Linked DNA regions of Mus musculus. The protein of the gene in region 3 interacts with the protein of the main gene of each other region in a biochemical or structural test. Links are inferred from orthologs where the notes say so. Each region holds a gene or a part of one and is shown on either strand. Other genes may lie near its edges.

Region 1 (3,500 bases), on a different chromosome or scaffold from region 3:
TTTTGGCAATGGAAGCACAAGAAAATATTCGTGGTCTGGAAGTGACAAACTGAGTATGGAATGATTGGTGTCTTTTAGCGACCCACCTGGGACTCCTGACCCATCAAGCAGTTTGTACACGGTGTCACTGTATACAATTGTCATAGTGAGAGTAGTAATGTGGAATGCTGACAGTGTTCTAGGAGACCACATCTGAGGGAAACAGGGCAAGCAGGGCGCAGGAAGAAGTCAGGACTCACCTTGCTGTCTGAGATGCACTGAGTAGCAGGCTTGTCAGGGAGCAGCACCAGCCCTGCCTCTTGCAGCAGCTCCTGGTCTGTCTCCAGGATCCCCGTGTCTTCCTGGATTCTGGTTTTTAAGCTCTGCAGACTCTCATCCTCCGTCACGGGGTATGTGTGAACGGTGCCTGTGACCATGTTCAAGACATGAACCAGCTGCAACACAACCCAGATGTTACTGGGAAGAAATTTTCTTAACATTTATTTACATTGTGTGTTTGTATGCTGTAGTGGTTTGAATATGCTTGGCCCAGAGAGTGACACTATTTGGAGGTGTGGCCTTGATGGAGTAGGTGTGTCTCTGTGGGTGTGGGCTTTAACACCCTCATCCTAGCAGCCAGGAAGCCAATCTTCTCCTGTTTGCCTTTGGATGAAGATGTAGAACTCTCAGCTTCTCCTGCACCATGCCTGTCTGGACACTACCATGTTCCTGCCTTGATGATAATGAACTGAAGCTCTGAACCTGTAAGCCAGCCCCAATTAAATGTTCTTGTAAGAGTTGCCTTGGTCATGGTGTCTGTTCACAGCAGTAAACCCTGACTAAGACACTTGCATATTAGGAGGGGGGAGCACGTGCGCACACCACACCACGTGTGTGGAGATCAGACGACAGTTGGAAAGAGTTGGTTCTCTTTTCCATTAGGTAGATTGTCAGGCTTGGCCACAAGTATTTTTACCTGATGAGCTATCTCACTATCCCAAAAATCAAAATTCTTTACAAAAGGCTCATGGATTTGCCAAGACCCTTTGCTACCCCCAACCCATACTTGCTGGTAAAGGGCTAGTTTAAGTCCCATTTTTCCTCAACGGCAAGATGTCAAAACATGTCAGTCATCTCAATTTTCCTGTCCTCTTTTTAGCCCAAAGAGTCAGAGGAACCTGAATTTCTTCACAAGGCCAAGTGGCCCACGATCTGATATGTCTCCCTTCCTTGGAAAGACTGCTGTGCTCCACTGGGGACCACAGCTGCTGCCTCGGGGCTGCTTGGGCTCTGCTCTAACCTTCAAGTTCAAGATGTCATCCAGGGCTCTGAAGCAGCCGTTGGGGCCATACTGGGGATCCGTGCCCCTTTGCCGAGGGTGCCACATAAGCATCAGCTGCAGCCACTTCTCCAGCCGTTCAGCCAAGACACTAAGGGAGCAAAGGGAAGAGAGGCCTGAGCCGGCCTGCCGCAGTGTGCAAATCCCGAAGCACACACAGCCTTCCTTGGCTGATAGCTCAGCTCGAGTGAGGTGCTTGCTGTGCACACATGAGAACCTAAGTTCCATCCCAGAGTCCACATAAGAAATGCTTCTATCAGATGAGTGGATCCTTGAGGGGTCAGCCAGCTCAGCCTACTTGCTGAATTCCAGACCTGAGAGAGAGACTCTGCCTTGAAAAGGAGAAGGTGTGGAGCGACGGAAGAGAGCCAAGGTTGTCTTCCATAGCACACATACACCTGCACACACTGAAAGTGACCCTGACACTTTGATAAGGCTTGTGAGAGCTGGGTGGGGTGCTTGCCTGGTTCCGTGGTTTCCTGATCAGCACCATGTCTCTGTGTGTACATATGTGTAAACACACATATGAAGAAAATATGAAAAAATTAGGCCAAGATTTCTTTGTGTAAACGAATCACATACATTTCATTAATCTCATTAGTATGTAAGTTTAATATATGAATATTTTAACTTAATATTTGTCTTTAATAAAATTTAATATTTGCCTTTAAACAGTATGATTAAACCAAATGATTCTTTTAAAATATATGATTTATTATCAGTAGATGCTTGACTTATATACTTTATGTATCTACATATCTGGGGTATTATAAACATTTCTTGGGCACAAAGGGATCCCAGCTGCTGGCTGTCCTGGAATTCACTCTGTAGACTAGGCTGGCCTCGAACTCACAGAGATCCACCTGCCTCTGCCTCCCCAGTGCCTCCCCAAGTTCCAGGGTATCCTGGTCTACAGAGTGAATTCCAGGCCATTCAGGGCTACACAGAGAAACTTTGTCTCAAAAAATCAAATCCAAACCAAAGAAAACAAAACAAAAAAACAAAACAAAAAAGCCACCAATCAAAACCAAAGCCAGGGACTTCATCTCCACCATAGAAAAAAACCAACCAATCAACCAACTACCCAATCAACCACCCACCTAACCACCCACCCGCCCACTCATCCACCTGACCAACTACCTACCCAAGCAAGCAAGCAAGCAAGCTAGCAACCAACCAACCAATCAAACAAACAAATAAACAATTTTTAAAAAGACTCCTAGGAAGATGAGATATGGAAACCCATCCTATGTCTAATGTTGAGATAGACTGGTCCAAATTCTCAATCACAGGATGGTGTTCTGATATCTATTCAAAAGTTATGCATGGGCCTGGAGATGGCTCAGTGCTTAAGAGCTAGGGTTGGTTCCCAACACCCACACGGCAGTTCACAGTCATCTCTAACTCCAGTTCCAGAGATCTGACTATTCCTCTGGCTTCCACAGGCACCAGTCACTCAAACGTATAAAATTAAAGTAAAAAAGAGTCAGCTGTTATCTCAAACCTGTAGCTCTAAACAGAGGCGAAGAAGATCTATAAGACTGATGCCCCACGGCCTTACCTGTTAAGATTATTGGGGAAGGGTAGCGAACTTGAAAACTTCACTGCTCCATTCAAGTCTTCACTAACAACGATGTCCACTTCGCTCTTCTGCCGGACTTTGGAGTGCCTGTAGGTGTCATTTTAAGATGTCCTTTATGTCACTCAGTGGCAAGTACCCGGTTTACACGTGTAATGTCACTTCACGACTATTCTTTTGGAAAACGGTGGGCAGCATGCTGCTAGGATGCTTCTCTGAGTGTTTGTGAGTGGTCGGCACTGTGGTTAGGGGCTTAGCTCTAAGCATTGAGTTCAGCAGGAGTGTTTGTGAGTGGTCGGCACTGTGTTTAGGGGCTTAGCTCAGTGCACTGAGTCCAGCAGGAGGCCTCTCGTCCTAAGTCTCCAGGAGGCACCGTTGACCTCTGTGTGGAGGACTGAATAGAGACAACCTAAGTCTGAGTAGTGCTGCATGGGCGACCAAGTGCTCTTGGCCATGTCTCTAATTTCCTCTGCACCTCAGTTGTCAGGGACCAACTTCCATTTGAAAACAGTCATTTTCAATTGCACTTAGGTGTGTGTAGAAGGATATATGTCTCCTGTGGGCTGCCTGCCTGATGCAGGTGCTAGGAACCAAACCGAGGTC
Region 2 (3,111 bases), on a different chromosome or scaffold from region 3:
CAGGGAAGGACCACTCTATGTCCACACTCACCTCCTGGGAGTTCCTGGGTGAACTGTCTTCCAAGTCAGAGCTCTGTGGCCACAGAAAAGGGAGTTGGTCAGTGGGCTGTAGGGGTTCCAAGCACCTGGGTATGGGGTGTGTAGGGCATGGTAAGAGCCCCATCCAGGCTCCATCCTCTAGGGAGGCCCTGCACATGTTTCTAGATATGCCCAGAATATGTCTTTCTTAACACTACACTCCAAGCCACCTGAAGGTTACTCCTTGGTCAAGGCTGCAGTCATTGGAGTGGTGTGGATAACCTTGAGTTACATCTGTGGCTGTCACTTCGCCATGAAGAGCTCTAATGAGGAAAACTGGGATTTAGGAAGGCCAGGCATTTTCCGAGGCCACAAGCAGGGCAGCAGTCATGGCAGGTTAGTGATAGGGCTGCTTCCAGGCTGATGGTTCCTCTTGGAATCCTGCCTTGACTTCACATCCTCCCCAGCTCTCTCACTGCCCAGCCCACCCTGGCGACAGCAGACACAGAGGCCTACCAGGATGAGCATGTCCAATTGCTGCTGCTTGAGTCTGCCCTCGGCGGCCAGTAATCGGCTCTCCGTCTGGAACAGCTGTAGCTGCAGCTCATCTGCCTTCTCACCCAGCTCTCGAACCAGCTTTCGAAGCTTATCTTTGTCCTGAAAGCTTTGGGTACACTGTGCATGCAGCTCTTCCCTGGAGGCCATAGCCTGTAGGAATAGCAGAGGGCACACCCTCAGCAAAGGACCTGGTTGATGCTCTTGGCTCTCATTTGGCAGTTCAGGTCCTGGCTGGACATCAACCACCCTGGTGTATGGCTGGAACTGCTGAACTGGAGGGATTCTCAAAGCAGTCAGGGCTCTCAGTGTACATGAACAAACCCTGGGCGGAGTTGGAAATGACCAGATTCTTAGCACTGGGGAGGCAGAAGTGGGATCAATAGTTTAAGGCCATCTTTGCACATATATTGAGTTGAAGGCAAGATTGGATTACATGAGACACTGTCTCAGACAACAAAACAAAACACTTCAGAGAAGCAGCCAAAAAAACCCGTGATTAATGCTCAGTAGTTCATAGGAAGCCCAACTGAGAAGTCCTACATCCCCAGCAGATAGCCAGTGGGTGTTTCTGTCCCACCTATGTGACATATTTTATAAATTCTGGATGCAGCTTGACATTAAAAAACAAAACAAAAACAAACAAACAAAAAAAAAAACAAACAAACCAGGATTCATGGCTGTTCTTAAATGAACACAAAGGTTTTTTTCTTTTGTTTCTTGGAAGACAGTTTCATTATCCCAAGGTGGCCTCCTATTTACTGTTAGCTGAGGTTGGCCTTGAATCTCTGACTCTCCTGTCTTTACCTCTAAATCCGGGGACCAGCATGCTGGGACTGCCATGTACTACCAAACATGGCTCAGCTGCTACCGCTTTTGTTATTGTTAGTGGTGGCTTTTTGAGACAGGGTCTCACATTGGACCCCAAACTGGCTTGGAATTCATGGTAAATCAGGCTGCCCTTAAATTCACAGTAATTATTTTGTCTCAACCTCCAACTGCTGGGATTGCAGGTGTGAGTTGCTACTACTGCCTCTGCCCGGGAGCCACCACAGGTTCTTGTACCAAATGCTCCCTACCCACAGCCTATGCACCTAGCAGCTTCCTCTCCCTACTGAAGTCTCCCACCTCCTTACCCCACCCCCACCCCCACCACAGGGACTGCTGTGTTCTCCTCCCGCATAAGCTCCTCCTTTGAATAAGGTAGACTTTGATGCATTTGTACAAGCAGTCCCGGGTTCTGTCTTCCAACACTGCCAAGTTACCCTGAGCATAAATAAAAAAAACAAAACAAAACAAAACACTTTGACTACTGCTCCAGTGTCTGCCGCACCAATACCCCAACACTCCTGGTTCTCCGTTTCTGAACACAAGTGTGGCACCTACCTGGTCCCTCTCAATGGAGACCTCCTCCATCTGCAGCAGGATAGCCTCGATACGGTCCTTGTACATCTTGGCATCCTTGCGCAAGGCCAGGCACTGCAGCTCGAACATCTCCTTTTCTTCCGTGCACTACAGGAAGCACCACTCAGCCTCACCCTCCCCTCCCTCCTCCTCCCCCTGGGCTGGACTCAGAGCAACAGCTCCAGGGCACACAAGGTCTGGGATAATGAGGAAGGCACTGGAGTTCCAGTCCAATCTAATCCAAGACTAACCTAGTCTAAGACCATGGCCTCAGCCACCATTGGTCACACTGTAAGCCCAAAGGGTGACACGGCACTACTGTGTACTGTACGAATTGACAGTGAGCCAGGTCCCAGACCCCACCATCCAGGATCCCAGTGGGCATTGCTTGTCTGCCCTGGTCTCTCACCCGGGCCCGGAGGGTCTCAGCCTGGCGGAGGTCCTTCCGTAGGGAGAAGATGGTGCTGACCTGCTTCTGGTGTTCCTGCAGTGCTTGACGCCAGTCCTCCTCCAGCACTTGAATGTATGGACTATTCCTGTCTAGCTTACCCTCCTGGAGGTGTCAGAAGGCAACAAGCCTGGCTGAGGAGGCCCACAATGGCACGGCCACTGCAGTTGTACCATCTGGTGTGCCCAGCTTCAAGCCCCTGCAGGCATGAGGCCTGATGTGCACTGGTGGGTCTCCCTACCTGCACAGAGACCTGCAGCTCCTGCACCCGGGCCTGCAGCAAGTCCTTTTCCTGCTGTAGTTCCCACAGCAGCTCCTGACTAGGCCGCTGCTCCATGGCGTGCCTGAGCTTCAGTGTGTGTTTGCGCTCCACCTTGCAGTCATCCTCGGCCTTCATGAGGCTGTGCCTGAGCCGGTCCACCTGTGGGTGGCCCAGTCAGCTGCAGCCTCCTCCAGGCCACCCCCTGCAGGTGGAGAAAGTGATTACCTCAAGCTGCAGGTCACGGTTCCGCATGAGTGCTGCGCCCTTCTCTTCACTCAGATGTGCCAGGCACATGGCCAGCTCATAGTTCTCGTCCTTGCAGCGCTTCAGCTCCGCACTGCTCAGCTCACACTCCTCCTTGAGCCGCTGCACCCGCTCCTGGTGCTTGCGCAGTAGGCTGTCCTTTACCCTCAGCTCCTTGATG
Region 3 (4,233 bases):
CATTCTGTCCACCGCTGTGTGCTCTGCATTTCAGAGTGCAGTGCTTTGGATGGATGGAAACTTTATTATAATGTTTAAAGTTATCAGTTCATGGTTACTTTTCTTCAATCAAGAAATTGAGCTATTGTAAAAAACAGAATTTTGTCTTAGTTCTTTTTTTTAAAGATTATTTATATTATGTATGTGAGTACACTGTTGCTCTCTCTTCAGACACATCAGAAGAGGGCATTGGATCCTATTTCAGATGGTTGTGAGCCACCGTGTGGTTGCTGGGAATCGAACTCAGGACCTCTGTTAGAACAGTCAGCGCTCTTAACTGCTGAGCTATCTCTCTAGTTCCTTAGTCCTTAATTTAACTGTTAGTATTACATTATCAACTTCAGAGTATAAAGTTACCTCTATTTGTTAAAAGGAAACAAGTTCTAACAAGATGAGGGTGTGTTAAATAAACAGATGAAAACAGGAGCAGCGCTGAAGATGTACAGCCCTGGGGACCAGCAGTAGGCCTGTGCTCCCCACTAACATGGGAGGACATGGACCAAGACTCTCTATGGATGTGCAAAACCTCATGGTACCAACCCCATATCAAGCTTTCCACCATAAAAACTAATCTAATATCCAAGACAGCTCACTACTAAGAGGATATCAGGCAGGTAACACACACACTGGGGAAAAGGTGAGACTCGTGTCCCTGGCTAGATGCAGTGAGATGGCACAAGATTTTGTCACGGTACTTAGAAGAGTGCTCAATTTGTATCACTATAACCGTATCAAATTCCCATTAAATAATTAAATATTTTTGGACCATAGCTGACCCACAGGCAACAGAAGCCACAGAAAGCAAACCCTGAGACAGACAGACAGCCTCATGTAAACAACTTCCCACCATTTATCAAGACAGATAATACAGAAGGGACACCAAGCAGTTTTGGGGGAAGGATAATGAAAAGTTCAAGTTTTGAAAACATAAGAACATAGCAGGCAGTGGTGGCTCATGCCTTAATCCCAACACTTGGGAGGCAGAGGAAGGGAGTTGAGGCCAGCTAGTTCTACAGGTGAGTGCCAGGACAGTCAGAATTACAGAGAAACAAAACAACAGCCAAATGTATGAAATTATAGTTTGAGTTCTGGTAGACTTGGAAATAAAGTCCTGGAGTTGAGAAAAAAAGGAGATTCAAATAATGCGGATGAATGTTTAAGCTTGTCATAAGCAGTTTCAAAAATAATAGGGTGAATATCTAAGGAACACTATTTTTATAGACACCCTGACGCTTCTCTGTAGTCTCTCTAAGGTTATGGACATCTGACACAGGTCTAACGTGCAACTGTCAGGATGGATGACGTCAATGAACCCCGGAGCAGAAACAAAGGCCTGCAGCACTCTCCTCCCCTATCTACAGACAGGTCTTGTCTTGTTTTGCCAGCTATAAAATGAAAAGCAATTCTCTCCTTATAGGTACTTTAATGATTGTGAGAAAATTCAAAACTGTGGAACATGGGAACAGAGCTCCCAGACTTTACACTTAGGGTTTACTGTCCTCTTAAGGACTATAGTGGGTATCAAAGACCTTGTTTCAAGTAGAATGTGTAGCTTTCCATACAGCAGGTGCCCTACCAACTCCACTGAACACGGAAACTATGGCAGTTATCCTGGCCGTACCTTTCCCTCCTGGTACTTAGCTCTATCAGTTGTAATTATGGGCACAGCGCAATAAACTTTACAAGGGGTAAGTATGGTAGAAAAAGGGGTCTGAAGCACACATACATCTTCAACAACTTGAGGTTAAGTTCGTAAAGACGATTTTTCGGCAGCATTTTGGTGCTAAGTAAGAACGAGTTACCGGTTTTTAATGTGAATTCATGTATATTATCTAAGTTGTGCTCATTTGATTTTTTTTTTTTTTCTGGCAAAAGAAGTTAAAAGGAAGGAAAAAAAAAACGAAGCACGTTGTGGTTAAAGCCATTTCCTCAAATATTACTGTGTCTGTGAAGTTCTACATGGTCTAAGCAGAAGAGTCCAATTTAGTCGGGAGTATTTTCAACGTTTACCTGGGAACCAAGTCTCAGCGAGAAGTACGCACACCCCCTTCATTTAAATACGTGGGCGTCTGATTACTCGGGGAATTCCAGGGCGTGCGTTCAGCTGGCGAGCTTTCCGCAGCCCCCGATAGAGACCAGTTTCACCCATCTGCTCTACGCCCGGGGATGCCTGGTCCAAAGCCCGCTGTGGGCACACTCCGGCGGCTCCCTAGGCTAGCAGCTCCCGCGGCGGTGGCGTGGGATGGGGGATCGGCAGGATGGAAAGCCACCAGCGACGAGCGGATGGCAAGGAAACATCCAAGCCCACCGACAGGCTTAACCGCGGACTCCCGGGTCGCTGGTGGATCGTCTCCAGCCAGCTCCCGGGAAGCAGGCAGGTCGTGCTGTGCCAGGACCCCGCGCTCTTCCGACCTGAAGTTCCCCGTCGCTCAGCTCCGGGTTTCCGCTTTCCTCCGCCCGCCCGCCCCGCTGCGCCCCGCTGCGCCCAGCCCGGCGGAGCTACTCACGTCCTTCTTCACTTCAGTCAAATCCTCCTCCGTGAGGGACGGTGCGGGAGCCTCCATGGCCCAGGCCGGGATGGCGTCCTTCCGGCCCGCGCCACCCCGCCCAGACTAAGGGCTCGGGCCTCCGGGAATCAGGCTGTGACTTCGGGGGGACTAGGAACAGAAGCGGGGGAACGGCCGGCTCACGGACGAGGAGGTGGAGACCTCAACGCCCCACTTCCGGCTCCGCCCCTGGGGCCAGCGGTGCCGCGCTCAGCGTTCTTCCTAACTCAGGCACCACCCTTCGGCGAGGCGGGTCTGCCTGCAGGCCCCACCCACCTACGTGCCAGCCAATCAGTACTACCCTCGGTTACGTCTCTGCTTCCGCAGTGGCTCCGCCCACAGCGGGCGTCCCTCTAACCACGCCCCCTTGTCATTTACATAGGCTTGCGGATTGGACGCCTGAAGGATTTGTTTCCGTGGGCGGAGCACTGGCCGCTCAGTTTAGCGGGATCTCCCCGCCTTCGCAGACTCCTCGTTTGGGTGGAGTGTGGGCTGAGTCGGCCAGAGCATTTTGGTTTGCTTCTCTTTTCCAGATGTTGCGGAACAATTTCCTGTTGTGCTGAGCCAGGTTTTACAGTTGCGTGATCATACGTATATGTATACACGCACACATAACTTCCGTTTGAGGGCCTGCTCTGGGGGGCCACTGCCATTTACCACCTAGAACTAGGGAGACAGGAGCAAGGAGATCTTGAGAGCAGAAAACAAAACGACAAAACACAAAGAAAAAAAAAAAACTGTTAAAAGATTTAAAAATTACCTGCAATCCCATCAATTTAGCAGCACAGGTAGTGTTTGGGTACTTTTAAGTCTCTATTCATTAGAAGCATTTCTCCTTATTAATCTATGCAGTAGAGACAAATTTAAAAAGCTAGGGCCTCTAGGAGTATATTTAAGGTTCTGAAGCTACTTGGTACACAGTTACACTCTCTTATTGTTATCCTTTATCTCTGTTCAGTAAGTAAATTCTAGGGATGCTCTGATGGGGAAGTTGTTTATTGGAGGCCAAATGGCTATTTTCAGAACGATATTTTAACTCGTAGCCCGTGCAAAACGTGTCCTAGTGGATGAGGTGCTCCACATAGAGTCCTAGGCAGAAAATGATTATGTGGTCGATGAAGTAAATCTGCAAGTGTAGACTGAAATGTCAAGAGGACCAAAGGCAACAGGAATCTTTATCTAAAACAAAAGAACCAGTAGAGGCTTAAAGCCACATCTCTGTAGCTTTGATCAGAGTTCTGGAATCTTGGTGTTTACATTATGCCAGGTCTTTTTTTACGCTGATGTCTAGTATACTAGAGTGTTTTCCTGTGTCCTTAGTCATCCGTTGTCTTGTTATAACCCAATTTGCTTAATCATTTGCTCTTTCCTGTAGCAACCATCTGTTGAATGGCAACTACTGAACTACACCCAGATCTTCTTCTAGCAAATCAAACACCTCTGTCCTCCAGCTAGGGTGTGGTGGCACAAGCTAGCTAGCTGTGTTGGCCAACCAACTGCTTGCATCTGACCCAGCTATAAGCAGGAATAAATCATAAACTTACTTAAAACATTAGGAGGGTTTTTTCCTTTTTGCATTTTTTCCCCACATTTTGGATATGTAGGTTTTTTTTTGTTTGAACCCTGCAGATAAGAATATCCTGTCTCA

The links. The genes of interacting proteins can lie anywhere in the genome.
Region 1: the proteins of Bcl10 (region 3) and Ikbkb form a complex in vitro, tested with the Homo sapiens proteins (2 studies listed by BioGRID, with this or other methods). The link is inferred for Mus musculus from reciprocal best matches to the Homo sapiens genes BCL10 and IKBKB.
Region 2: the proteins of Bcl10 (region 3) and Card9 form a complex in vitro, tested with the Homo sapiens proteins (2 studies listed by BioGRID). The link is inferred for Mus musculus from reciprocal best matches to the Homo sapiens genes BCL10 and CARD9.

The regions. Positions count from the first base shown.
Region 1 is NC_000074.6:22,672,084-22,675,583, forward strand, and holds part of Ikbkb (inhibitor of nuclear factor kappa-B kinase subunit beta), read right to left. Parts: intron 2,988-3,500; coding exon 2,880-2,987; intron 1,410-2,879; coding exon 1,280-1,409; intron 435-1,279; coding exon 240-434; intron 1-239.
Region 2 is NC_000068.7:26,354,799-26,357,909, forward strand, and holds part of Card9 (caspase recruitment domain-containing protein 9), read right to left. Parts: coding exon 2,913-3,111; intron 2,847-2,912; coding exon 2,667-2,846; intron 2,531-2,666; coding exon 2,387-2,530; intron 2,086-2,386; coding exon 1,960-2,085; intron 727-1,959; coding exon 535-726; intron 126-534; coding exon of another isoform or gene 99-125; exon of another isoform or gene 74-98; coding exon 32-73; intron 1-31. UniProt on the Homo sapiens protein: Adapter protein that plays a key role in innate immune response against fungi by forming signaling complexes downstream of C-type lectin receptors.
Region 3 is NC_000069.6:145,922,829-145,927,061, reverse strand, and holds the start of Bcl10 (B-cell lymphoma/leukemia 10), read right to left. Parts: upstream 2,801-4,233; 5' UTR 2,604-2,800; coding exon 2,547-2,603; intron 1-2,546. UniProt on the Homo sapiens protein: Plays a key role in both adaptive and innate immune signaling by bridging CARD domain-containing proteins to immune activation.